Linked DNA regions of Drosophila melanogaster. The protein of the gene in region 3 interacts with the protein of the main gene of each other region in a pairwise test. Each region holds a gene or a part of one and is shown on either strand. Other genes may lie near its edges.

Region 1 (5,456 bases), on a different chromosome or scaffold from region 3:
AATGCAAAATTTATCAGCGATAGCCCAGAAAAGATAACTAAAATGTGTGCTGTTCTACAGCAAATTGGGCGAGGCGTAGAAATCAATTTCAAATTTGTTGATATTACGGGGCAAGAAAACTGAAAATAGAAGCCGCTACAATGGATCCACAGATATAGATAGCGGCTACTTGGATGTTCGTCGTACGTCAGTGATTCAGGCAACTTGGTGGGGCCCAAACGAAATCCAAACGGAAACCGAAACCAATTGAGAATACACATTAAGTGAGTGGGTTTCTGAGGAGGGGAAAGCGATCGTTTAGTATTCCCTAATTGGTATACCCGTGTCTGTCACACTGTGCAGAAATTGCATAATGCCCGGGCCAAAACCACCACATCACGTGTCTGGTTCGTCTGGCACCTGACAGACCCGCGAAGATACTTCAGTTCGGATTGGTTCTGGTCGGAGGAAGTTAATGGAGATGATGGGGCTGTGGGCCAGACAGAACAAGAGAAATTGAAAGCCATTAAGTACCTTTAAAAATAAAAGCGGAATACTACTAACCGCATGGCCCACTGGGATGATACATGGGAGAGCTATACATACATATATGCGCGTGGATATATGTTGCTTCAATTATTCAAGAGTACACCGAAAACAGAGACTTGTGACCACAAAAAGCAAAGAAATTACGCACGAAAAATATCTTTAAAATGCCATAAGTTGTATATAGATACACAGCCAGCGCAGACTCATCAGATACACAAGCACACACATCGGCCAGAAGATACATATAAGCAAACTCGAACTGTGGCAAACTATTTCCGTATTGAGTTCTCTTCTTAATGCCCTGCATTGAGCCATTTTGGGTATATTGCACGAAAGTTTTTTAGATCAACCACTTAAAAAATTAAACAATTTAAGTGGTTGGAAAACGGTTTATCTGATTTCATTTGACCTCTAAATTCTTTATTTTCTCTTAATGTCTTACATCTTTCATTCCTGAGCATTTATCAACCGAAATTCAAGACAAAAATGTGTTTGTGACATTTAAAAAAATTTATTTTCGAAAGCATATATTCGTTAGCTTAAATTCCACAAACAAATTATGTACGTGTTCCAAAAACATTTTCTAATATTTATGAATGTGCCGAATATATTTTCGAGCCGTGCGTTTCTTTTCTGCTCATCTCGGATTTTATGAGTTTGTTTGGCTTGTGAAAATTGCATTGACCTAGAAGTCATATTGTTGTTTTTTTTTTCGGTCTCTTTGGTATTTTGATGTCTTTGGAATACCCTGCATTCTGATTCTGATTCTGTTTTGGTTTTGCACATTTCTCTCCCGCTCTCCCGTACGACTTTCTGTTTTCTACGTACATGTATGTATTGTGAACATGAGCATCGTTATGAATTCCCCGATTTTCCTTTTTGTGTGTATATTTTCAAATACTTGCCACTGTGCATCCGAATCGGGCTGTCTGTAAAAATGTGTGTGAGTGGGAGACTGGGGAGCTAGCTCCCGGCTGAGATCGTGGAAAGCCCACGGCCCATTCCTTGTCCGTCGGTCGCCAGCGCCACGAGGAACGGGAAGCGCGATCTTAAAAAATATTTAAAAAACTTTTCACCCCGTGTCCCCGTTGCTCAAATCGAACATACCCCCAAAACGAGAGCGAAAGTTTAGTATTCAAAACGCAATTTAATTTGGCGAAAAAATATCGAGGCAATCGGAGACAAAGGCGCGATCTCGGCGGCGAAAAATAAACCTAAAAACATAACGATTTCGGACGCGTGCCAGGCGGTGGGCGGTGGGCGGGGCGGCGTAGACGCCGGCAGCGGCAGCGACGTCGCTGTTTTATTTTTTTATTTTCTTTTTTTTTTCGATTTTGCCGGCTGTCGTCGCGAGCAGAATGCCGCCGGCTCTCGGTTCTGGTTCTCAGTTCAGTTCTGTTTGAGTTTCTGGCGACGAGTGACACACACAGAGGGAACTAGAAATAAACGACACCGAAAAACGAAACAACACTTAGTTGTACTGTAGATTCTGGCTGATTAAGAAACACGAAACACGAAGTACTCACTTACACACAAAAACACATATATATCTCACACACAAGGAAAACTGCATTAGTTCAGATCGAGCGAAAGTGCCGTAGACGATGCCCAATAACCGCAATCGTAATCGCAATCGCAATCGCAACAAACGCAATCGAAACCAAAATCAAAATCAGAATCCGAGCCAAAACCAAAACGAAAACCATCAGCAGCAGGCAGAAGGGGCGGAGGATCGGGAGGAGCAGCAGGATTTCCAAACTCAGATCGCAGTAGCGCAATCTTCTTCCTTCGTAGATGATAATGGAAATTCTGGCAGCGTTTCAAATGGGCCAACGGAAAACAGCGAAGAGGTGACGAACACTCTTGAGAAAACCGAAAAAAAAGAAGAAATATTCGAGCAACCAGCAACAGTCATCCAAAAAGAAGCAGATTCAGACGCAGAAATGGGTGCCAAAAACTCAAAACATCGCAAGGAAAAGTCCGATAAGCAGGCGTCTAATGGAAAATCTGAAGAGCAGGTGCGTCCACCTCCCACCATTATAAGAAGGCCACCCGGTAGCCCCCGGCAAGCCAAGGTCATAGTTCATCGAATTGTGAGGGAAGAGGACACGGCCAATGGCAAAGCTCAATCTCCAGAGCCACCCAAAGCCGTGGAATCTAAGGAGCAGCACATGGAGGTCGAGGATTCAAAGAAGGAGAAACCTGAAGCTCAGCAGGAGATTGAAACTAAGGAAGAACGGGAAAATGAACCGAGTCCAAAGGAACTTCCTGAATCTAGTCATCTTTCGGAGGACGCACAGCAGAAACATGTCGAAGTTGAAGAGAATCAACAAGTTTATGATGAAGTGGACTACTCAAAGGATGAGACCACTGACAATAATCCACAGCAAGAGCAACACGATTCAAAGGAACCGGAGCAATATGTGTTGCAACTCGAAAAGGCAATGGAATTTGTGGAAAATGCACATCAGCAACACGTTGCTGCCGTGCAAAGTTATCAAAAACAGAGAGACACTGAGCAAAATGCACAGCAGCAGGAGCAAAATGAAGCACAGCACCTACAGGAATCAACTAAAGCGCATCAGCAAAATATTGCAGTTCCACAAATCCTTGTAGATCCGAAGAAGAGAGAAGAGGGCCTCGCACAGCAACTGCATCATGATGTGAAAGAGGAACCCATTTTGAATAACGCCCAACAGCAAAATGATGACACTGCACCGAAATCCCCAAAGGAAGTAACAATAAAAGTTCAGTTTCAAACAGAAGATCCTTATTCCCAGCAGCCTCCTCCACAGAAGCCCACCTCCAAGGTGATTATCCACCAGATACACGTGGAAACCACCGACGAAGAGCAAAATGCCAAGCCCACTTTCGAGGAGGTTAGCAGCACTACCGGTTCTCTGGCCGGAACCCTATCTCCACCACCTCGTTATTTGGTGGAGTCGCCGAAGAACGTGTCAAGTGGCCAGTTTTCGAACTTCTCGCGCAATGTGCAAATCCAGGAAATGGAACTGAACAGCGACTTCAGCTCCGGGGAATTCAATTCCCTGCAGTCGCCGCTGGTATGCGAAGTAGACTCGGAATCAGAGGGATCGGTAGTCTTGGGACCGGAGCGATCGCCGTCGGATCAGCAGGTGCCGTCCAGCAGCCGAGTAGAGCAGCATGAGCAGGTGCGCCAGAAACGTGCCCAGTATCGGAACGCTTTGGAATCGCACTTCATGCCGCAGTTGCTCAATCCCCGCTATCTGGACAGCATCCTGGAGGAGAATGAATGGAGAAACTCCACCGCCTCCTCTGGCGGAAGCGATCAGACGGGGATCCGCACTCCCAAGCTAAACGAGACCTTTCCCAGGAGTCAGTTGGACTTTAGTCGCAGACACAAGCGTAGGGAGGAGGCACCGTCGCCTCTTAAGCTCGAAACCAAGCTGCTGGAGGAGTCAACCGATCTGGAGAGCTGCACCCGACTGCAGAGCGCCCTGTCTCCACAGTCTGAAGATGCGGAGCTAGTTTACCTAAGCTCCTCGGCCTCCAGCAGCGTCTCTGACCTCATGGAACTAGAACTAGAGCAGGCTGCCGCCTTGGCGGAGAGAGCCCTCGTAGACTTGGATACGGATGCCAGTCGGTTGATTGCTCGGCCGGATGATGAGATGAGCAGCACTAGTACCACTACTGCAGACAGGAGCGAGACGGAAGCGGAAACGGAAACGGAGACGGAGAGAGAGGGCGAGCAGAGTCGCGAGAGCACACCTGTTAACGCCAACCCGACGCTCGCCAGTTCGCAGTCTTCGCTGCTGAGCGCCGCAACGCCGACGCCGACGCCGACGCCCACTCCCGCCGATCGAGAACAATTAGCAAAAGATACAAATGTATCTGGTGGATCGACTGTTAGTTTCGGGGCAGCATCGCCGCTAGCGGCCACGCGCGAGGAGTTCGTTCGCAATATGGACAAAGTGCGCGAGTTGATCGAGATGACGCGGCGCGAACAGGAGCAAGGTGAACTACCGCGATCGCCGTCGCCGCCGCCCGTTCCCCCACCTCCCGCTTCCGTGCCACCCTACAGTCCCGAGTCTTCCTCGTTCCACCTAGCTTCCTTGCAGCTGAAGCGGCAGGAGTCGAACGACTCCCACTGCTCTGACAGCACCACCCACAGCCAATGCACGGCCATCAACCTGGCCAGTCCCCCACCGCCACCCACTGCTCAGCCACCTACACCGCCACTCAGACAAAAGCCTGCACCACCACCCGTACCGCAACCCGTATCACCACCCGCACCACCCACTCCCCAATCAGAGCCAGAGCTTTCAGTTGCAGATTCGGTTGCGAATGCAAATGCGGATGTAGATGCAGATGCCGACACTGATACGGAAGCAATAAAGAAGCTGCGCCTGCTGTGCACCGAGCAGTTGGCTTCCATGCCCTATGGCGAACAGGTGCTCGAGGAGTTAGCCAGTGTGGCCCAGAATATAAGCGACCAATCCCAGAACAAGATGCCCTATCCCATGCCCCAATTGCCGCACATCAAGGAGCTGCAGTTAAACGCCAATGAGAGCAAGTCCTCCTCCGCCTGGCTGGGTCTGCCGACCCAGTCCGATCCCAAGCTATTGGTCTGCCTGTCGCCCGGACAGAGAGATTTGGTAAATAACCAAACCCAACCGGATGACCTGCTCGATGCTCACCAGAAGTTCGTGGAGCGTCGGGGATACCATGAGTTGTCCAAGGCCCAGGTTCTCGAGCAAGACCACCAGCAGCAGCAGAGTGAGATGCTCAAGACGGCGGCCATGATGCGCGAGTTGCGCAAGAGCCTCTCGCCCCCAGCGCCTCCTGTCCCTCCGCCGCCGGTACCGGTGAAGAGCGCCGAAACGGCGGCCAAGGCGACCGCTCACGAAAACGCCAAGAGAGATGACGCAAGCGAACAAAAGCAGAAGATC
Region 2 (5,564 bases), on a different chromosome or scaffold from region 3:
TGGACGTGGGCAAGAGCACTCTGTGCCGCATCCTGCTTAACTATGCTGTGCGCGTGGGTCGTCGACCGCTGTACGCCGACCTGGATGTTGGACAGGGCTCGATTGCCATTTCCGGGAGTGTGGCCACCATTCTCATCGAGCGACCGGCGAACGTTGAGGAGGGATTCGCCAAGACAGCGCCGCTGGTCTATCACTTTGGCCATAAGTCTCCCAGCGGAAACAGCGTGCTGTACAATGCCGTGGTTTCCAAAATGGCAGAGGTAACACTGCAATCTCTGAATAGCAACAAGCGAAGTAAGTTGGGAAGGTGTAACACATATCTTTGCACTTTTCAATACATTTTCCCGTTCATAAACTGCAAATTTCTGCATCTGCTTTTTGCAGCAAAAAGCTCTGGCATTATTATAAACACTTGTGGCTGGGTAAAGGGATCCGGCTACGCGCACCTGTTGCACGCGGCCAAAGCCTATGGAGCCTGTGCCATCTTTGTTCTGGACCAGGAGCGACTATACAACGAGCTGCTTCGAGATGTTCCCAAGGGAGTTCATGTGGTACTGCTGCCCAAGAGCGGCGGCGTCGTCGAGCGCAGCAAGGAACTGCGACACGAGGCGAGGGATCAGCGCATCAAGGAGTACTTCTACGGCAATACAAGGGCGCCCTTCTATCCGTTCAGCTTCGAGGTGAAGTTCCAGGACCTGCGACTCTACAAGATCGGCGCACCGCCGCTGCCCGACTCCTGCATGCCAATTGGAATGAAGGCGGAGGACAACAAGACCAAGGTGGTGGCGGTTACACCCACGCCCGCCCTAATCCATCATGTGCTGGCCCTCAGCTTTGCCGAGTCCGTGGAGGACGATGTGATTGGCACCAATGTGGCCGGCTTTTGTTGCGTGTAAGTGCTGCTGAACCTAAACTAGATATTATACTAGTTATATATGATTGTTATTTGATTATCCTCAGAACCGAAGTGGATATGGAAAGACAGGCAGTGATGTTGCTTTCGCCGCAGCCGCGACCTTTGCCCCCGAACGCCCTGCTCCTGTGGTCGGAACTGCAGTTCATGGATAATCATACCTAGCATTTGTAAATGCTCTGCTCTAGATGTAATTTAAGAAATTTTATATTAATGTTGGCGTTACAAAAAATACAGTTTAGATGTGCAAGTAGTAAACTTAAAGTTTTCCACAAGTTTAACAACTGAAATAACATTTAATAACATTTTGCAAAAATTAATTAAGTTTTGCTATAAAAGAATAGAACATATATCAAACAAATATTGTAATTTCTGAAAATTGAAAACTATTATAATTAATTATAACTATACAAGAATATAATATTCAGTATATGTATTGTATGTGTATGTATGTATTATTATGTGTTTCTTATAACCACTGAAAAAGGGTTTTGTAAAAATTGCATTTGAATATATTTGCAATGTGCATTTTTCGCCATTTGGTAAAATTATGTAATTCTATTCGAAAATAATTCAAACAAAATGGTGTTCTAAATTTTTTTAGCAAGGTGTGCAACCAAACGTCTACTCTACTTCCAGTATATTTTTGGTATATTTAGAACACTCAATTGGTAATATTTAGGCAAATTAGGTGCAGCCATACTGACGGCTGCGTACGTCGCCTCAGTGCGGTCACACTGTTCGAAAGAGCGAGACGAAAAACACGGCAACACGGCGGACGGAAAACTCAGTGAAAAGTAAATCAAATATTTACAAAACAAAGTAACCACAAAATGGCTGCGCTCGGTCGAATTGCGTTGGTTTAACAACAAATAGCGATGAAACGGCGACGATTAATACACTTTCAACGGGCATAAACCATAGATACTGTGGAATTTGTCGTGCTTTTCGTGTTTGTTGTGCAGCATGCGAGATGTTGCTGATGTTGTTGTTGGAATGTGTATCAAATGGTTCTAAAAACAAAACAAGAGATTTTCGGGCATCTAAATTTACGGCCTGCTTGAAAGACGTTCTGTTTTCCCCCAGTGTGTGTGTGCGTCTGTGCATGTGTGCGCGTGTGTTTGTGTGTTTTCTTCTCACTTGCTCTCTGTTGCTGCTGCATTTTCCAGCGGCAAACGGCGTTTGTTTTGGTTGCGTCGTGAAATTTTCCACTGGAAAGTGCAGCGCTGCGCCTTTCTGGGGGTTGCACACACACGCGCACGCACCGCAATTCGTCGATTGCCGGCTTGTTGCGCCGTAGAAGCGGCGGCAAAAGAGGTTCCCTAATTACCCAGAGTCACCTTATCACTTACAGTATTTCAATTTGGCGACCAGTTGATCGGAGGGGGTGATGGCGGTGTGGTGGCCCTCACACAGTTGCACAATTGCTTATCACTCGCTACTTAACGACAACAACAATTGGTGGCTCGCACACATGCAAACAAGACGATCACACTCGTCAACAAAGAAGCGGGAAACTCAATTGAAAGACTGAAATAACAACAACATAAGCAACAGCTAGCTTACACTACGCAACAAAAGTGCGAGCACGAGGAACTAAAAGTTATTAACTCACTAGTGATCAAAACTGAAATAAATTTGAATTGTATTGTAGTCATAACAGTTGAACCAATATTAATCTATTAAAAAAGATACGTAGAAAGTAAAACAAAAATCCTAAAACCTATTTACTAACAGGCATAACTCTGCAAATACTGTTGTAACTACAAACGAGAGTTCAAAACAAGGGTGTTATTTGATACCCTAGGGAGTGAAAGATTTTCGAGAGCGACCTGTTTTCAAACCTCCCTCTCCCTTCCACTTGCAGTTTTTCCGTGTGATTACCATGTGCGCCTAACAAAAGACAAACACGATCGGGTCGCGTCATCTGTTGTTTTTGCGCCAAATGTCTTAAAATTCCGGAGATAGTGCTTCCAAAATAAGATGGCTCTCGAGCCATACACAAAGTCTGCTGAAATCGAACCTCAATTGTGCCAAGTTATAGATAATAATGAAGATGTGACAACGAAAGCGACGAAATGCACGAAATCTAACAGCGGAGTGGGCTGGCGACAAATGCTGATCGGCTTTCTACTGATTTGCTTTGGCATCTCAAACAGTTGGCAGTACAAAAATGGTAAGTTCTGTGCTTTCATTTCGAACAAAGGGCAACGGTTTTGCCAAAGGAGCTGGGAACTGACAAGCATTTGATGGCAGTTCGATTAATTTGACGAGTGGCGAGGGCTTTGAGTTCAAAAAACCGCAGGGATAGACAGTTTGTAATGGGAATGGGGGTTCGCTGATATCGTTCCTCTACTTTCCTCAAAGGCTTTTGTACTACAGGTATCGCTCGCTAATGTGAACCAACGTAGTTGCGTGATTCCCAAGTGATTGAATTATAAATTGAGAGTGTTTAGTCTCAAATCAATATTTGATATTTATATTTATTGGTCAATATTCATTTTAAATAGTTAATTTAGCAAAATTTCAATATGTACATCAAAAATTACTATTCAGATAGAATATTTACTTAATAGTATAGTTCCTTATTTCAATGATTCACTGAATTTAAAAGCTTAAAATCCCATAGATAAAATATGAGTAACTGAACTGCATTTCAGGCATGTTGCCTGTTCGAGTGCCCACTGTATGCGTTTGTTTATGTGGTTTCAACTGCACTTTTGAGCTTCCCGCTCCCCGCCCCTCGCCCAGCCTTTTAGCCCCTTCCTTTGCCGCTTTGCGTTTTCCTTTAAGCTCTTTTTCGTGTTGTCAAAGCCCAAAGGCTGACAATTTCTCGGCGCAATGCTTTTATGAATAAACAACTACTACTTATTTAGACTGTAGTACGCACTCAACTTGATTGCACTGCGCATAATTTAGTACCCCCTTCTTCATCTACTTCTACTCCTACGACTACTACAACTCTGCGGCCCCACCAAACACTTTTCCACTAGATGCGACGCTAATGAGCTGAAAAAAGCAGCTCACTAATAATTCAGCAGTTGTAATATGGCAAAGTTGCCCGGTAATTGCCGGCATATTTCAAAATGCACAAAGCATTGACCCAGGCTCAAAAATTATACACTCAGAAAAATGTTCAGTTCTCATCAATTAAATCTTGTATAACTTGTACATTATTTAAAATCTAATGGTAAATCGATAGATCCACTCTATATGAACTGTTCTGTTGGGAATCATATGTAAAGTTAAGATATGAAGTCTGTAAGAGGAACTTACAAATTTCGTGGGCTGAAACAGTTCTTCTATAGATTAATATTGCATGACTCCTTGAAAGTTTTTCTCAGTGCAGCTTCAAAAAAGGGGCTCAAAGGACTGAAGTAGAAGGGACCTGCACGGGACAAGTCAATATGGAAATAGCAAATGGACAAAGGCCGTCCAAACATCGTTAAGCCCCAAAAACGCTCGAGTGTTTGGCTGAAAGATAAGCCTTCGGATTCTTCGTTTTTTTATTTTTTTTTTCCGGCTCTCTCCTTCAGTTGCAATCCGAAGTTTTTTCGGAGTCCGGAATTGCGAGTACTCCAGCATGCATGGGGGCATCCACAAAGCAAGTGCCGCCGCACCGAAAAGGAAGCCCGAAAACTTAAATTTGTCGAGCCGGGTGGGAGGAAAAAAAGCGCATCAAATATGTACACAAAGCTCCGGAAAAAAAACCCCATCTTCCATCATTCCCGGCCAGCTCTCTGTCGTGTGTGGGTGGTGTGTGGGCGGCTGGTTGGATGCTTACTTTCTTTAACACTTTGACGCGCGCACAAAGTGTTTTTTGCCAGCGTTGATTTGCCGCCCATGCCACCCATGCCATCCATGCCACCCATGCCACCACTTCCACACTACCCACCGGCCACCCAGTTCTTCTTTAAACCTTGTTCTTTTTTGCAGCTAACTGACGTTTTTGCGCGCTGCTGTCATGCCGTGTGGGGGATTCCCCCTTTTTTTTGGTCCCTTTACGTAAGCGCTATTTGCTTTAGCTTCTATTTACTACGCCGTAGTAACGCCAGTTTAGTAGTAATGGGAGCACTTCAAAGGCGACGGCGCCTTTGACGCCACATCCACCGCCCACTGACGGCATCCTGCCAGCCAGTCATCCTGCCATCCTGGCTGACATCCTTTGCGTCCCCGCGGGACACTCGACATTTCACTGTTGTTGACATTGATTTTGATTTCATTTATGTGTGCACCATTTCCACTTTCAACTTTCCAACAGCCAGCTTGACATTGGCTTAGGAATGTCAGTCAACACTTGATACACTTTGTCTTTCCTCGCGGGATTTGCCTAGGAAGCATTAGTCGCTAGTATTTCCCAATTATCCAATTAAAAATGCCCAACTCAATTAGTCATGCGTGAATTTCAGTTTATTCGTTGCAATTAAAATCTTAATTTGATGTTTAGCATACTATCAGAATGTTAACTATTGCATGAACTAGTTTAATTATATAAATGAAAGTGATTTTCATAAGTAAGCTGCCAAAAGAAAACAGTCTAAATAGCCTTTAGCAAAGAATCATTTCAAATTTACTGTCTGTAGAAAATAAGATTTTGGACAAAGATTAATGCAATTATTTTAATTGGGTTTCTATAATCTGTTTAAAGCTT
Region 3 (6,597 bases):
ATGGCGGGTCGGAGTGGAGGAGCACATGGACGTCGCGTGGAGGCGAGAGAGCCTGCCGAGTGGGCGGAACGCGTCTGAAATCTCAATTCTGAAATCACAAATCCGCGGCCTCGCGTCAATTGGCGTAAAAATAGATTCGTCGGCGGGCGGCTCAGCGAAATTTCACAAGTGGAACGCCTTTGCCTCGAGGAAGCGCAATTGTGTGGCAGAATCGGGAAAGAACTAGATAATACCCACTATAGCAACTAGCCACTAGTCACTAGAATCATGCAACATCACAGCAAGTTTGCTGTGATGTTTTTGGGGGCGTTTTTGGATGCAATCGCAGTGACCCATTTGGAGCTGTGCTGTAATCATCTTATAGAGTTAAGAGATGATTCCACCAACCATGAGTAACGTGCGAGACTTCTATACAACATAAACGTGCCTGTGTATGTACTTTTTCATATTTACACATATGAAGCGCACTTTATTCTGAGGAGAATAATGAAATTAGCTCATATCAGCGATGTTGTTCAAGGTCGAAACTAAGTAATAAGCTACATACAAGTATGTATCTGTATAAACATTAAAAATTCCCCCGAGCCTTAACTACTCACATGAGGAACCAAAAACGATATTTGAAAATGAGGCACTGCAAATAATATGTATGTAGTTTTTACAGCTTTTCCGCGAAACCTAACTAGTTTGCTTTGGAGTCACGTTGCCGCCAGTTGAAAGCAGTTTCGATTCACAAGTGGACATTCCAGAACCAAGTCACATGCGAAGTTCCCTGGAATGTGCTATTACGAATGAGATGTGATACTATACTGACTGCGAATCCAAGCCAGTGGAAGAGTGGAGTTCCCGATCTCAGGACTCTCACTCCGGCGGAATAGCTAATCACGCCCCTTTGTGCCAGGGGCCACTAATTACCATGTTTCCTGGTAACGTCAATCTGACGCACTTAAGTGCGGAAAATCAATGAACATTAATGACCCGGTCCCTTTATTAATAAATTGTAAGTGGGCCAATTGACTGACGACTGAACGCGACTTTGAAATTCAGGCAATGAAAGGTCTAGGAATAGCAGTACACTGTGCGGAGTTTCGAATACCACTTAGAAAGTGATTTTGAAGTTGGAAAACCGAATGAAATATTCACCATTTAAGCTAGTTTCTATGAATAAATGAGCGCTTGCAGCAACAGATAAAAGTTCATTGACTTTGATTTATTTATGAATGAAATATTCATAATGCATAGGCTTTTTAATTAGAATAATAACATTAAATCGCAGGCAGTAATTTCTTCCGGTGTAGGAACCACCTCTATTCGCAAATGCAAGCACTTTTTTTTTGGGTGTGTCGGGGGGCGGTGGGAGGTGGGCGGTGGCAGGGGGCGTGGAACGAACAGGTATTTTCGGTTTAGTTGTTACGAAATAAGTGGCGAAAATTGACGTGCCGAAAGCGAAGGCAAAAAACCAAAACAAACAAACACGAAAACTCAGGCAAATGCGCCGTACGCTTTGCATTGTTTTTTCGCCCACTTTTTATGGATCGAATTTAACGACAATCTTTGGCCTTTTGTTGCTTTAATTGCCCTAGCTGTCCGCACTCACCTTTGCTGGACTTTTCGCGCAGTGCAGCTGCCTCGAAGGAGCCCAATGCCTGCATTATTTCGCGGTCGCCACTTTCCTTGCGGTCAATCGATTTTTCAGAGCGCCCCGAAAAGTCCAAGTGCAGCAGTGTAACGAATTCGCAGCTTTCGTTCGCTTTTCCGTGCATTTCGGAATTTGCACTAATTGGTAGGATTCCCCGGGGAATCGAATCCGTCACTTTTAATCCTGTTTGCTGTTCTTTTCGCACTCGCTTTTGTTTTTGCAATGCAGGCTCCTGCACTTGCGGTACACACACATACCAGCAGCTGCTACGGCCGCCGCTGCACACACACACACGCACAGCGGGCAAACGGGCATCTCTCTAGCTCTACCCGTCTCGCTTCAACCCACTGCCGCGCGCATTTTCACATTTCCCGCATTTGTTGCTACTTCGCTTGATTTATTCGGCGTTCATCTGGGCGTTCCGTTTTCACTTTCGCCTGGCTGGGGCAACAACAAGCTCGCGATCGAGTATCTCAGCTCGGCCGTCCGCTGCGAACGAGTATCTGAGTAGCTGAGTAACTGAGTATCTGAGCGTGAGTATCTGTATCCGAGTGTCTCGCGGAATCGGAATCAACACAAACAGCTGTTAGGGCTGCGATGGCAAGAATCGATAGCTTAGCGATAGGAAATCGATAGTTTGGGATTTAAAAATTGAACAAACAAAATCGTTTATTAACTTGATTTGGGAAATCAAACAGGTGTAATTCATACATCAGCGCAGTCTCCTGGCCTCGCGTTCAGTTTCCAGCAGCGACAGGATGTCGCCCACGCGAACAGGTCCTTTGACATTCCGAATAATCTGGCGGCTTTGGTCGCCGAGGAACTCCACCCGCACCTGGGTGCACTGCCCTTGGGATCCAGTGCGTCCAAGGATCTCGACCACGCGAGCGTACTGAGGCTTGTCCATGCTGAATACGAAATTCGAGAATTGTTCGACAATAAAAGATTTGAATTTGAAGCTGTGAGTGCTGCTGCCTTTCCAGTCGATGAAAATAGAAAACCTATCTACCCTTCTATCATCCCTGGCGCCACCTGTAGGCCTTGTAGCGCAACATAAGTGCGGACGCGAACCACAAGGTGACCCCAAGTCGAGCTGCCACCTTTCGCAGTGTTGGCAATCCAGTTGGCATCCCCGAGGCGAGCTATCGAACCAGTTCGATTTCGAACCACGCAACTCTAGCATGTAATCGTTCGTCTCGCCGTCTAACATTTGTGTCGAACTACATTTTGTTTTGCCATTCAATAAATCTATTATTTACCACTGAATAAGCGGCGCCACGGAGCCCTAAAAGAGTGTGCGCGTTCCGGAGACTCGGCGCACAGCGGCCCGCAGCGATACGTCCATGAAAATCGAACGGCAACAGCAGCAGCACCCACAACCAGCGGAGGCAACAGCAACAAAATACACAAAATAAAGAAGCAGCAGACGGAAAAGTGCACAAATGGTGCAGAACTGAGTGGAAAGGCCACCGAGCACAGATTTCTCACAGTGCAGGAGCCCGGAGACGCCGAAATGCTCTAGAGGGCGGCGCTTCAGCACGATTTTCTCCCCGCGGAGAGCCCAAAGTTGCCAGCGGACGAGGATGACTGCTCCTGGCGAAGCATTAAGTTAAGAGACATACAGCCATTGTTTACAGCAGGCAGCTCAGACACCGGGATAGGATAGGATAGGATATGCCCTCGGGCCAGCCCACTTGAGTTGAGGAGAGCAGAGGAGAGGATCGGGATCCGTGCGCGAGGAGAGGATCTGCAGCCTTGTTTAGCATTTAGTCCGGTCATCGTGCCAGCGCCTTGTTAACCACACTCTCTTGTTTACGTTTGCTTGTTTGTTGAACTCCACAAATCGTCCTTCCATTAATTGTTAGTCACGCGTCCCTCTCGTTGAGCACACTAATCAAAATGAAAGCATCCTCGTCGATATCGAAATTGAAGTTGAAATTGAAATCGAAATTGAAAGCTAAGTTGCAATTGAAATCGAAGCGTCCAGCCGTTAAAGCTACAATCAAATTACACCCGTCCAAACCCACCTCGTCATCGCCATTGCCATCGTCACCGCCATCGAAGATTGGAGCCAGGGCCGTCAGGACTGCGCCAGGATCAGTCGTCTGCCATCCCAATTGAGTGAAGCCGAGGATACACGAATCTAAGGGTGAGTACTGCTCTTGGAATTCCCATGCACAATCCATAACTAATGCTATTACTTTCTTACGCAGTTTGTGGATTATTGGATTTGCACAACTTACTTAAGGACTAATATTAATACTTTAAGAAAGGCACAACATAAGTCTGATTAATGATCTAGTTGTATCAAGGGAAATGATTGGAATTAGACAATTTATTCACGTCTAACTAATATCTCAAATATTAATAGTAATTTGAATGATCCTTTGTAAGAAATGTGAGCATATATTTTGCAATAATAGTAACTTTATGAAATGTATATTTCATTAAATCGAAGGATGATACCTGATCATTGAAAAAGTCATTTAGAACGCCATGCAAATTCTAATCATCCAACTAAAATATTGCTCAATTAATTAGTTTGCAGCACATTTAATTTATTTCTGAGGTGTATGTGCCAATGGGATCCCATAGAAACTGTATATATCTTTTAACTTCATTAACAAATCAATTAATTAACAAAACAGTAAAACATAATTATATTATCATCCTGCATTCATATCCATAATATACAATGTTACCTATTTAACAATTTACACATCCTCTTCTTTCAGGTACTGAATGTACTGCATCAACTGTAATATAAGCTACGTAAATAGGAATTTATGCGAATAAGAGTAATTAAGTGAAGCGTGTAGTTAAACATTTCTACAAACCGGACATAAAAAGATTCAACCATCTTAAAGGACTTGCAGCGCTATGGATTGATATGTTCTCAAGCGTTGGCCATTTCTCACTTGAGTTTAATCGGTTAGTGTTCTATCACCCTTTATATTCAAAGCATTCTTTAGATTTATTTAGGCGTTTATTGGATGCACCCGTGCGCGAAATATTTTCTCCCCCACAAATCCAATATGTATGGCTTATTGAAAAAAAGGAGGCACTTGGGTGGTTGCTACTGATTGATTTAAAGTTCGCTGTGTTGAAAACTAATTCGATTTGGGCTCTGAAATGTAAATTTATTTAAGCTGAGCCAAAAATAATATTTATACAATTTTATCTCTATTAAAATACCTTCCAATTTTATCTTTGATGCAATATTTATGACTGGCATATAAAAAAGTTTTTTTGTTTAATTTATTTATGGTATTTGTATTATGTTTTGGTTTGAATGATTATTTATGAGATGCACGAGACTAAAGATTTTTCTTAAAATTATTTTCATTGTTTTGGACTTACTTTCTTGGCGAACAAAAATATACCCAATGGCCAAATCTCTTTTCTCCCAATTGATAATTGATAATATCCTTATGTATAAAGCTTGCCTATTATATATACATATTTTATATACATTTATTTATATATATGTATATTTAAAACAGAGTAAAAGTGTTCATAATTTTTTTAACTATCCCATAATGCTTGGTAAGGCTAGAAACATTAGTCTTCAGATAAAACTTTAACTTTAACATATAACATAAATTTATACCAAATGGATAACAATGGCTCTAATCTTTTTTTTTTCCAAACTCTTAACTATATGTTTACAACCTTAGTCTTTCGAACAAATATTTTAGTATTATATATTGTCTTAGCTTATTTCAAAATGATTTCAATTGATCTAATCTTTTCTTCATTTCACTATTCTTTCAGGAACAACTGGAACCATTCGGAATACCAATATCTTCCCCTGATTTCATGTTGAATTTTTTATGCAAATTACATATGTGAGTATACAACTTATTTTTACTTTGTCAATGGTTTTGAAGTTTAAGACAACTACGATTGCATGCGAGAATCTCAGAAATATAAACTAGTATGAAAAACTGATTTACATTGATATACTTAGGTCCTTTTCCATTTCTCGAAACCTAATAATCATGACATCCTGAAGGGTTTTAATAAATCCTTTTTAATTGGTTATTATTCGGAAACTACCTTTTCACTCAATTGAAAAATCCTCTTAGTGCAATAAGGATACCATGATTTCACTATTGTTTATTGGGCTGCAGCACTCTGATTAAGGAATTGAATAAGTTTCCGTTGTCTCGGAGAGGAGCAACAGTTGACCGCGCCCAAGTGCATCCTTCGGGTCCTTCGGTGTCCTTGTAATGGGCGTTGCACCTGAAAAGTAGGCGCTTCCGCGCTGAACTTTTCCGCCTGTGCTGGCAACTTTTGCCGCGCACAAAGTGCCACTATTGACCTTCGGCAATACTCGCAGCCGCAGTGAGTAGTGCCCGTGTTTCCCCCAGTTTGCCGGGCCAGACCATGCCGGCGTGGAGTCTAGACCGCCATCAGACGCCGTTCATCGGGCGGTTGGTTGAGCAATGGCGGTCTTAACCTCATTAGAAACAAACGAGGCTGCCGCCGGTCGCTCCTCCCTTCGTATTGTTTTCAAACTTATTCGAAAATAATTTCCACATTTGTGTTTAGGGGAGGAATCGGACTCCGGAGGTGGGTCTTCCATCTCAACCCTTGCCCCACCCCTCGGCTTTCAGGAAGGACTACAATGCGAACCCAACTCCGCTGCTCTGTTTATGTACAATAAGAACGGGCGGGCGTCTGGTCCTTCCTTTGCCTTGCCACTCTGGCAGTGGGCCAGGATTTGGTCTGGGCTTGGGCAGCAGGGCATAGAATGGGGGGACCAGGGTCTGGGGACTCAATCTGGACCTGCGCATATTGGTTGCACACAATGACTCCTATTCGCCTGCTGCCGTCTCGCTTGCTCCGCCGCAACCACGGACACTCTGAAAAGAACATCCTTTGTGTGCTGTTGTACAATGTACATGGAGCATCATCATGTTGGAGGTCGTCCCAGCACCGCCACTCGCACTCCT

The links. Proteins that work in one complex are often made in the same cells at the same time.
Region 1: the proteins of Axn (region 3) and CAP interact in a two-hybrid assay, tested with the Drosophila melanogaster proteins (2 studies listed by BioGRID).
Region 2: the proteins of Axn (region 3) and arr interact in a two-hybrid assay, tested with the Drosophila melanogaster proteins (one study listed by BioGRID).

Annotation. Positions count from the first base shown.
Region 1 is NT_033778.4:10,277,209-10,282,664, forward strand, and holds the start of CAP (CAP), read left to right. Parts: upstream 1-1,527; 5' UTR 1,528-2,132; coding exon 2,133-5,456.
Region 2 is NT_033778.4:13,479,301-13,484,864, reverse strand, and holds the start of arr (arrow), read left to right. Parts: upstream 1-1,635; 5' UTR 1,636-1,710; intron 1,711-2,780; 5' UTR 2,781-2,896; coding exon 2,897-3,089; intron 3,090-5,564. Other genes in the region: cbc (crowded by cid), read left to right, coding at 1-294, 385-892, 961-1,078.
Region 3 is NT_033777.3:30,020,053-30,026,649, forward strand, and holds the start of Axn (axin), read left to right. Parts: upstream 1-2,789; 5' UTR 2,790-3,788; intron 3,789-4,374; 5' UTR 4,375-4,570; intron 4,571-5,413; 5' UTR 5,414-5,487; intron 5,488-6,165; exon of another isoform or gene 6,166-6,597. Other genes in the region: RpS28a (ribosomal protein S28a), read right to left, coding at 2,352-2,546.